2 linked regions of the Oryzias latipes genome follow. The protein of the gene in region 2 interacts with the protein of the main gene of each other region in a biochemical or structural test. Links are inferred from orthologs where the notes say so. Each region holds a gene or a part of one and is shown on either strand. Other genes may lie near its edges.

Region 1 (4,563 bases), on a different chromosome or scaffold from region 2:
AAACCTTAGGTTTAGCTGATATCAGACATCCTGATCAGTTTATAGAATAATTAAACTCCAAAGACTAACAATTCCCTTTTACTGCCAAACTACATAAGGTACAGTAGTAACAATATTTGTGTTATTTTTTAAATTTGGTGAGACAACAACATGAAATTCGTTTTTCTTCTTCTAAAGACTGGAAAATGGTGTTTGTGTGCCTCAAACCAGCCACTACAAATTCATCTATTCCTCTATCTTTCTGTTACATGTGGGATCAAACCAGAGCTACTAACCATGACGCTATCACGGCTGGTTTATTGGCAGCCTTGTTAATCCTGTGCAATTTTTTGGAAATTTATGTGTGTATATTGTGTATATATTGACTCCATAGTTTTTCTTTTTTTCTTTATATATCGCTCTCTGTACCTGTACTGCTGCTGCAACAAGTACATTTCCCCATCGTGGGACTAATAAAGGAATATCTTATCTTTGATAGCTTTACATTAAGCTATGAAATGTTATAACTACATGCCTGTATGTATTCAATAGGATTAGAACACCAAAGCTTTTTAAAAAAAAACTATTTTTCTTAATTGTTTACATTTTTGCTTCGACACGTTTTTCATTCCATTACAACTTTATCAAATGAATTGAACAAGTTCAGGCTGGGAAAATTGCTAATGTGCTACAAGGCATGAATGCATGTGTGTGCATGAATGCAAAGAAGATCAAAAGACCTTATCATAAAGGCTTACATTAAAAAAAAAGCACCAAGTGTCTAGTGCTGCCCACATTTATTGTTTCGTTGCTTCTTAATTTGAGCTCTTCCCAAGTTTCCCTTCTGCCTCCCTCTGTATATTATCAAGTCATCAGATACCAGAGCTCAACAGTTGAACATCAAAGTACCGACAGTGTGAGGGGAGGCCTATCTGTCTCCTCTTGTCTGCTCCATCCCGCTCTGTGACAGCCACTGAGGGGTTCCTGAGACACTACATGAAGGGGGGACTTGGCTCTCACTTTACACAGAGAAATCCTATCATTTGGCGCACTCCTCTTGAGATACCAACTGATGCCCCGTAAGTGCCCAGACAAAACACTGGATGCTTTTTATCCAATTCTCAGGAGAAGGGAGAAAAGTTCAAGCCATGTGTTTTGTGCATTAGTTAAAAATGGGGAAAACAGTTTTAGAACATATGAGAAAATGAAAGAAAAAGCTCTAGAATAAGCTGGGAGGTTTTCAGGAGATGCTTAGTGGACAGGTGCCATGACACTTAGTTGGCCAAAGCTCCACATGGCATCAGGGTCAGGGAATAGTTCCCCATCAAAGACAGAGAGGCTAAACTCTGTGCCAATAGGGTTTGATAGGCACTAACTCACCACAGATGTCAGAGCCATCTGGAAGCTGTAGATGCGAGCTAGCCCAAAGTCCGCCAGTTTGATCTGTCCTCCGCTAGTGACCAGGATGTTTTGGGGCTTCAGGTCACGGTGAACCACACGGTGCGAGTGCAGGAAGTCCAGTCCCTGGAGCAGCTGGTACATCATATCCTAAAAAAAAAACAGGTTTTAAGAAAGAAATTACAAACTGAATTTTTTAACTTGGTGTGTTTGACCTGATGAATATGATTCAGTAAAACTAACAACTTCAATTAATGCATCTGCACAGAAAGTTACCAAACAAAAAGTAACAACATACAAATGCAACAAGACATTGAAGTATTGAGGGAGTCAACAAGAAGAAGCCTATCTCTTTTCTTGTCGACTGTGGCAGATGTTTGATAACTGACTATAACACACACACACACATACACACACAAATGACAGCGGCAGAGTTAGGCCCCTGCTTTGTGCGAGAACAGATCTGTGTTGGCGAGCAGCTGTCCTGCTATAGTTAACTGTTTCTTGCTTGCTTTTCAGGCCCGTCAGCAGTGACTTCAAGTAGCACTGCATCTACGACAAACTAGCAAACTATTGTGAGCAGGAAAAAGCTATTTCCAAACCAGCTTAGACTTGTTCTTTTGAAACTCAAACAGGTCTTACACCTGTAAACAAATAGTTCAAGGGATAGTGGTAAGGCAGTTTGTTACCTCAACTGTCATCCAGGCAACTTAATGCATCCAGTTCATGTTTTTGCATGTAAGAATTAGGTAGGGTAGGTAACATAGAGCAAGGAAAAACAATGGTAACTAAAATTACAAAGACACATGTTTTTTTTTAAGGAAACACATATCTTAAACAAACAGCTCCAAAACAGTCTATCAAGACCCCACAAGTGAAGAGGACCAGAGTCCACAGCTCTATTAAGTGGCCAACCAGCTGGTGTGCGAGTCAATGAGGCCTGTGAATTCAAGCAGAAAACATTAGCAAATGGCGTGGGGCCTGGTTGTGTGCTAGCCATAGAAAAGACTCCCCACACGGTTTTGTGGGGATGATGAGCGATGTGGCACAAACGCTCTGTACATTTGGTTATAAAGTAAAACGGGTATATTTGCGTACATGTGTACCCCTGCGTAAGGGTGCATCACTGAGTGAAAGCATGCAAAAGCATGTGGGTGCCCTCTGACCATAGGCAGGATGCATAAACAGTCCTTCCTTTCTACATCTCCATTCAGCCATGACCTATGAAGAATGGCAGCAGACACACAGGGCCATAGGACAGAGGCAGGCAGTTAGCCATTTTTGTGTGTGTTTGTGTGTGTGTAGCATGGGGGGGGCTGACACAATAGTATTCCTCCACCCATCAGTTCCTCTCAGCTTTAAATAGTCATTTCACCATGTTTCCTTTCAACAGCATTTCCTAGTAAACACTAATTATCTCACGTGTGACTCTTGGACACAAACAATCTTGGCCTTCTTAGCCTTTTCTATAGCATCAATTACAAACACGAAAAGTCATAAACATTTCAGCATTTTTCCAGAACTAAGCTCAACAAAGGCAATTGAGGCAGTGTCTAATAAATAGATAGAAATGGCAAGATTTACAGTATGTGAGTACAAGGTTGCCTATATGATTTGCACGAGTCAAAAGTTCCAAATTGAAGTTGGAAGGTTTTTTTTCCAAAGGTGCTTTAAACAACTTGTGGAGAAAAGAAAAACCAAACAAAAAGGCAACATATCTAACCCTGAAAAAATGGGAGAAAACAGACTGACTACAAGAGGCAGTCAAAACATGGCTTTCTGAGCTCAGCTCCTTTTTTGATGCTAATGTACCAGAGGCAGCCATATTGTTTATTGTAGTATGGAACAATATAGGACATCTGCCGGTTAGCGTTAGTGTAATTCCCTCCCCATGCTTCATTAACCTCCCCCCTTCGTGGGCCCACGGAGTGGAGCTGTGGAAGTATGGAGGATAGTGGTGAATAGTGGTGGAGGAGGAACCCAAGCACTGGCCCGCCTGAGTAGCACTAAGACTGGGGCAAGCAGGCTGCTTGATGTCCTTCCAGCTCATTTGATCCCTGGAGGGGGGCTTCTTTCATCAATGACCATGTGGTGGGTCTTGAATCAGAGTGGGTGGTGAAGGGTGGAGGGTTGAAGTATTTATCATGGGTAAGGGTTCAGATGGGCCACGGTGGGGTGTCTGTCACTGGTTGGTTTTAGTATGGACAGCAGGTCTTTGGGCGGTAAGGTAATTTAGCTGAGGGTGAATCGTTTTATGGTTCTTATGGGGTTTGGGATGAAGACAATGTTGATGCCTTTTTCAGATGAGCGATGGTTTAAGTTAGACCTGCTGTCATAAAGGTGGAGCTGAGAGCACAGACAGTTGCTCGGGGATAATGGGGTCACACTTGGGTCACTGTGTGTCCTAGAAATAACAGGGAAAGGTGCCTATGATGTGTTGTCACTGCTTGTCCTTTTGTCCCCTTGAGGCTCCAGCTGGTCGGATGTTAAGAGAAAGCCTAAGGAGGAGGGGTGGTCTAATGGGGCATCATGATTGAAAGAGGAGCTTATCCAACTGTTAAACAGTGCTGAAAGCCTCATGTCTCAAACTTGGCTAAAGTTGGGAAGAATTCTATTAACCCTTCAAATCTGACATAGATAAACCGTGACAATTTAACTATCTTCTTCCTTCTTTTTTTCTCGAGATTTTGTTCCAATGATTAGACAATAATTTTTAAACACAGTTTCATAGAATCTAAAACTTTCATCAAGCAAGAAACAGGATAACCATTAGACAGATACTGTAGCGTCCCCAACACTAAAAAATTTTAATGGTAACGAGTTGCTGCCAAAAATAGTTCCACGATGAATTGGATATTGCTTCAAATCAGTAGGGATGCACAATGTCGGTTTTAGGCTTTTAGAGTCCCACTTCGATCATGCAGATGTATCGAAATGGAGCGGAGCAGACCTCTTTTTGTAGTTTTTAGTAAAGAACTACAAACAGCGTTTTTTCATTTGCTCCTGATTCACCACAATTTAAATATAGAAATACTCAGAAATTATTTCAGTATTAATTTTCTTTATCTCCTCCATCATGAGAAAAATGTTACAAAAACATGTTAAAAACACGCAAAACACATTTTTAACGGAAGTGGGTCTTTAAGGAAACATGACAAGTGACATTGAAAGTGCAAGCAATTTCAA
Region 2 (6,930 bases):
AATGAAAGATGCTTTAGTTTTTCTAAATTAGTTGGAGAGGATCATAGTGTGCAGGATGGAAGACAGACTGCTTACAGAAAGTGAAATCATTGTTCCATTTGAACAGAAAGAAATGTCTCCATGCCAGTGTCGGCCTCTAAAACACTTTATTTTCTTTTTCTTTTAGGTCTGTGAGGAACAGAAATGCGAGGAGGAGGTTTTTCCGTTGGCAATGAACTATTTGGACAGATTTTTATCAGTGGAGCCCACCAGGAAAAGCAGACTCCAGCTGCTTGGAGCTACATGCATGTTTCTGGCATCTAAGATGAAGGAGACGGTACCATTGACTGCAGAGAAACTCTGTATCTACACAGACAACTCGGTCCAACCTGGAGAACTGCTGGTAATTAAGTTCTTGCAGACATGATGTTGCGTAACAATGGGAGAACATGACCAGAATGCCTGAAGGCCGCGTTGGCTGGAGGCAGGGCTCGGTCTGGGTTGCTGGTGCGCCGAGGCTGCAACATGTCAAGCATGCAGTCATGCTACTGATGTACGTTGTGGTTGAAATGTGCATGGAAGTCTGCTGCAGCGTTTGAATGACTGCCTGCACTTTCCCATGGAGACTGGAAGGCCTCTGATTTCATCAATGGTCTTTGGTGGCGTCTGCTAATTTGCAGTGACACCTAGTGGCCGTCAGACAGATGTGCAGACAGTAGAAAGATGTATGCTAGAAAAAAAGAAAATGTCTTGTTCTGTCATTCACTTTGTTTAGGTAGAACATTACAGCCTATTTATGCATAAGAAGGATTCAATATTGACTGCTGGGTCAGCCCTGTCAATTTAGAAACTATCATTGATGGCATTTGATGGAAAATTACATAAAGAAAAACAAATGTTTGTCAACCACAAAATGAAGCATTGCGTCTTCTCTGGTCCTTCCACAGCAAATGGAGCTGCTGGTTCTCAGCAAGCTGAAATGGGATCTGGCTTCTGTCACACCTCATGACTTCATCGAGCACTTCCTGTCCAAGCTGACAATCCACGCATCGACAAAGCAGATCCTCAGGAAACACGCCCAGACCTTTGTGGCTCTCTGCGCTACAGGTACTAGCTCTTTGTTACATGTCTATTGGTTTCTGGGTTGTTGCAGTTTATTAAAACACCAATCACATTTATAGATATTTAACTGGTTAAGATTGAATTAGCCCTAATAGTTGCAAACCACCATGCCGTCAAACAGCGGTGGGAAGTACCAGTGAGCTATTTAGGAAGTCATCTTTTGGTCAGCAAGCCCCAGTCAGTCAAACCTGACCTCACACAAACACATCAGTCGCATTTCATTCACAGTTTCCACGCTTTAACAACTGGGGTCTGGGCTTTTTCAAAAGTTTTTAAAGGCAATCAGGCATGGTCGTTTTCTGTTTATTATTAATGTAACTTATGAAACTTTGACCTCTATATATATGTCTGTCTCATAAGTAATACAATATTCCAAAAATATTTCAAATCAAACCATTACCCAAGTCCTGATAAATGGTAGAACGGATGGACGGCTTCCTTTCAGAGTCCTGACAATGTGGCTGCAAACCAAATTGATTTGAGTCAGCTTAGAAAATACATTGATCAAACTGGAGGAACTCCTCCTCCCTGTAGTGGTCAGCAGTTTTTGCGTCACGGTTAACTTGCTGTTCCGGTCAGGTCTTTGGTATTCGAACCCACAGCATAGGATGGTGATGCTGAAAGAACAGAAACAAACGTGCAAACATACGATGTGACGGAAAACGGCTTGCAGATACCCGAACCAAATGTGAACGTTCTTCTGCCTCTACAGATGTGAACTTTATAGCCAGTCCTCCATCAATGGTGGCAGCCGGCAGTGTGGTGGCAGCTGTTCAAGGACTCTACTTGAAAAGCCAAGATGCCTCCTTGTCCTCTCAGAACCTGACTAACTTCCTGTCTCAGGTCATCCGCAGTGACCCGGTATGGAAAACCCCTCGCACTGTCTAACCTCTAACCCTGAAGAGGGCTCGTGTCTTTGCTGTTGCGCAGTGGCAGCACGTTTTTTTCTGACCAGTTGTTTGTTTGCAGGACTGTTTGCGGTCGTGTCAGGAGCAGATTGAGTCTCTGCTGGAGTCCAGCCTGCGGCAGGCGCAGCAGCATGGCAGCGTGACGGAAGCCAAGCGTGTGGATGAAGAGGTGGACCTGTCCTGCACGCCAACAGACGTGCGGGACATCAACATTTGAGATGGTCACCAGCATGTCCTAATCCCAGTGTTGGGAGAACTCTGTTGTTAGAAGATGGGCAAGCAAAGAAGGGGGGGCCTGATTACTGCCTCCCCTCCTCTCTTCCTCGGTTGCCTGGTGCGCAGCTGCTTCAACGGATGTCACTCACTTGTCCACCACGACTGCCAAGGCAAGGTGGCGCACCCTTCTTGCCATGCAGCGCACCTCCCACCACATTCCTTGCCAGTGTCCCCTCCAATCCTGGACATAGACCAGAACACTAGACATGGACAAGTGAGAAACGCGCACCGGTGACCCGTGTGGGCAGGAGTCAGAGCCACACAAACTGATTCTTTTGGTTCTTATCCTCCATTTCAAACTAGGAATCTTTTAAATTGCTGTGGACTGATGATGACTACTTAAGGATCCCAAAGTGTGGTGTTCAGTAGGCCTTCACAGTCTGTCCACCTGAAACCCAACATTTATCAAAGCAAAGATGCTGTTTTGAACCAGTTTCTTTTGTTTAGAATGAGTTAGGCTTTTTCTAAGTCCCCGTGTTTGTCTTGTAGTTCAGGCATCCATTTACCCCATGCTTGTTTATGTTTAGTCACTTTATTATATTATTTAGCCTTATACCTCTTTTGTTCTAAGCTTTTGGGTAGTTTTTAAAACCCGTCTGTGAGTGAAGTTGTGTTTTTGTCTGCTGCTGGTGTGGACAAACGCTAGTCTTTCTTGATGATTCATTTGACCCGTTTCCGCTTGCAGCAATTGATCAAATCAAGTCAGTGCTAATGCGAGCAGAGCTGTCCAGACTCTGATGGTTTCTTCTTTTGTGTAGTTAGATCTAATACCATTCCAATGTATTGTTTTCAAGAAAGAAGCACTTTTGGTCAGCCGTGCTGGCTCAACTGAAAGAAAAATCGTGGTGGTAGAGTTTGCAATGGAACCCGAGGTTGGTGATGCAGTGGTCGAGCAGCTGGTTCAGATTCATCAGATGGGACAAAGAATTGACCAGTGTTGCAGATAGACTTGTTTTTATGTCTGGGAAAGGCCCGTCATAGCAGCCTTCCTGTCCTGCTAGTTTCACTTGTGCAGTGTTAGTTCAGGCAGAGCCGCCCTGAGCTTTTCACAGGTTCACTACAACTGCAAGCATGTAGAGCCAAAGGCTAAATCTGAGGAGGTAAAAGGATTATTTTTATAGCTAAAGTAATGCTTTATATTCCATATCGTAAAACCTATTTATTTTTACAACTTTCAATTGTGGCTCCGCCCACTTGTGCAGATGTTTGCCAATGAAATGCTGTAAAACCGTAAGCTTGAGTTGACCTGAACCACCAGGACGGCATCCCTCCATACTCCTCCTCACTTCAAATACTGCTCATGGATTATGAAAAATGGATCAAGTTGAAGAAAGGGGAGCGATGAGAATATGAGATGATTTTTGCACAAACCTTAAGGACGTGGGCGGGGCTTCTCTTGGACTTGCCTCAAAAACTGGTGGAGAGTATAGTGGGCAACAGTTTGAAGTGTCAAAAATGAAACAAAGAGGAGAAAGGCTCATCAGAAACTGCTTTAGAGTGGTTGGGGCTTCGTCCCATAAAGAGGAGGCATTTCTGCTCAGATGGACATTCACTTTATAAGGAATGAGGCGGAGTCTGAGTGTAGGATCCTTTTAAAGTAGGTTTCTGATTCTACAGTAAGGATAGAACGTAGGAGAGAAACACTCCTTGTATTTTGCTGCTATAGAAGATACATTTGAGCTTTGTGTTTAAAGACAAAAATAAAAATACAAAAAACAGATATGAAATGAAAACAATGCTTTTTTTTCTGTTGTTTGCTGCTATTTTTTATATGTATAAATGTACTGCCATTCTAGGTCTGAATTTTCTAATAGGAAGTTGTTGATGTCACCATTTGTTCTGTGTAGACTATGTGATCTTTTGGTTGTAATTATCTAATGTGATTTTTTTTTTTTTCCAAACTATTCCAAATACAAGGACGAATTGACAATGTACAGTAATGCTTTGATTCACAATACCTCATGTGACAGTCATGATCTCTGATTTTTAGTTGTGTGTGTGTGTGTGTGTGTGTGTGCGTGTTTCATTGTGCTCGCTGGTTCAGTGCTTGCCAGCTTTGACCTTTTGTAGGTGAAGCATCTGCGATGGAAACCAGCGTGTCCAGGCCGTGCGTTGTAACTGGTGCCATAACAGAAAATGGGATGTGTATAACTCTGTTGAGTGTTAAGCTGTCTCGATAAAAGAGACTTTATCCCCCCATTAGGCCCATAATGGCCTCTCTTCCTTCCCCCTTTTTATATTTATAAAGAGAAAAAAAAAAACCTGCTCCAATTTTTCAAACTTCCAGTGAGTCGATTTGAGTTTGTAAATACATTCAGTCTCATCCTCGGTAAGCCATAGATCATCCTTGTGCTGTGTTCACGGATCATTCCAAACCGATTGTTTTCATGTCAGCTGTCTGCACCCAGGATAATGTATTCATTTTTGTGTTGACGACACAATAAAAACATGAACTAGGAAAGCTGGCCACCATTTGTTGCCTGAAACCTTCACACACCCAAACCACTCATCTCCAAGCTCACATCTTTGACTGACACTTTCTGGATTAAATAGAATCAGTGCTTCACTTGAGTTTAAACAGTGCAAATGTAACCCTTGTGCTATCCTAGGCACTTTAAGATTGGGAGTTGGGTCATCTAGACCCACTAGACAGTGCTCTGAACCTTTTTTCTTCAATGATTTGTGATCTTCACTGGTGTCCATGGATTACATGAAATCTTTCCACCTTTATCCACCTTTGTCATGGTAGGGAGAACACGTCAATGGAAGGGGGGGGTCATCTAAGATAGCACAAGGGTTAAGCATGTTTTAGAATGAAAGGTTGTGATAAAACGGACCTCCATTAGACCGAATAGACCTAAGTTTGGAGGTTGATCATAGATGAAATGAACTATTTTCAGCCAACGTTTCTGCGCGTCAAGAGACGTAGACTGGTCAAAGAGAACAGAGGTTTCTGAGTTTTGGTTGGGAGGTGAAGCATGAAAAACCACAGTGTTTAATGAAAGGGATTTTCTGTTCAGGTGCAATAAGTAGAGTTTCAGGGTGTATTCAGACTGGGAAAAGCATTTGTTTGGGACCCAGTCTGCCTAATCTGGTCCGGATCGAATCCTGAACCTTGGATTTGGTCTGTATTCAGACTGCCATCAAGCGGCTTTCCTGATTCGAACCAAAAGTACAAAAAACCACTTGAATCAAAATCTCTTCACTCATTGTTTAGAAATTACGAGGGCGGGGCAAAGCAACAAGAGAAATTATGCAAGTCCTGCACTTTGCTGTCCTCAGGATAGCTCACCATTCAAACTTTGTATTTTGTTGACCAATTTTAAATGCCTGCATCAAAGTCAGGCTCAACACTATACTTGCTTTATAGGTCTGGTGGAAGCATGCTGCAGAGCGGTAACTGGTAAGAAAACATCCAAGAAGGTATAAGGTAAGTGCTTATGACATATAGATTGCCGGGAAACAGTGAGACCAATGTGGATCATGGTTAAAGTTGTTTCAATGTAATTTGCCACAGGTGTAAATAATGACAGAACGTAAAGACAGCGAGAACGGGAACGGCACGAACAGCGGAATCGCCAAAATAAAGCCCAGAAAGCCCGGAAGTGCAAAAACAAAAGCCTAACCAAACCGCCCTGGCCCCAGTACCTGACACTAATAGTTTAGTGGCTCATTTAAAATCTGTGTGCAGGTTTTTCACAATTTCATGATCTTTTTATATATTCATGAGAGATTTATTGGTTGATTGTGTATTTGCACAAGACCATATTTATTTATTTAATTATAAACAATTTGGGGCTCCATTCTCTTTAGCTGCTTTTTATGAAAAAAGGGGTTGTACAGACACTGTTTTTTTAATTACTTTACATGCTATTAAAATTACCTGAGATCTCTTCAGTGATGTCAGGAACATCTTGGGATGTGGACGCTGCACCACCTCCAATACTTTTTGCTACTTTTTGAGAGCAGAAGGAACTGTCGGCTGAGACGGAACTGTGCAAAACATCATCATTATGTAAAACCAAAACTGCAAAATACAAATGAGAAATAAATCTACCCATTTATAAATAATAAATGTGAACAATAATTTTAGTATAAGTGGAAATATAAGCATTTATACACATCTTTATTTATTATTTTGTATGCTCATGATTTTAAAATTAGTACATTTATTTTGTTTTTCATTTATAAATGAGAACATTTATTTCCTATTTGTATTTGGCAGTTTTTATTCTCCATATTTATGTTAATACAAGATTTTAAGACACACTCATTGTTTTAAAGTCAGACTACCTGACCTGCTGTAACAGATTGACAGCAGTTTTTAAACTGACATAATAAACCGGAAAATGCAGAACGCACTAAAGATGTGTGTTAGCAAAACAACTAAATAACCAATACGATTACGTGAGTTAAAACATTTATCAGCCATTATACCATTATTATTACTTACTTTTCTCCACCGTTTTGGAAGGTCATGTCCGACCTCATCTTTTTTGTTTTTTTTGTTTTTTAAACTTGTCCTGTCCAACAGCTGGGCAGACAGATGACAGCTGAAGGCTGAAGGCTTGTGTTGGACATATTTTAACTTTTACAACAGGGGTTATGAATCTTCTGACATACCAGAGGTATGTCTGAATAAACC

What was found.
Region 1: the proteins of ccnd1 (region 2) and cdk6 form a complex in vitro, tested with the Homo sapiens proteins (3 studies listed by BioGRID and IntAct, with this or other methods). The link is inferred for Oryzias latipes from reciprocal best matches to the Homo sapiens genes CCND1 and CDK6.

The regions. Positions count from the first base shown.
Region 1 is NC_019869.2:9,946,157-9,950,719, forward strand, and holds part of cdk6 (cyclin-dependent kinase 6), read right to left. Parts: intron 1,528-4,563; coding exon 1,360-1,527; intron 1-1,359. UniProt on the Homo sapiens protein: Serine/threonine-protein kinase involved in the control of the cell cycle and differentiation; promotes G1/S transition. Phosphorylates pRB/RB1 and NPM1.
Region 2 is NC_019861.2:4,924,344-4,931,273, reverse strand, and holds the end of ccnd1 (G1/S-specific cyclin-D1), read left to right. Parts: intron 1-166; coding exon 167-382; intron 383-926; coding exon 927-1,086; intron 1,087-1,813; coding exon 1,814-1,962; intron 1,963-2,070; coding exon 2,071-2,226; 3' UTR 2,227-4,746; downstream 4,747-6,930. UniProt on the Homo sapiens protein: Regulatory component of the cyclin D1-CDK4 (DC) complex that phosphorylates and inhibits members of the retinoblastoma (RB) protein family including RB1 and regulates the cell-cycle during G(1)/S transition.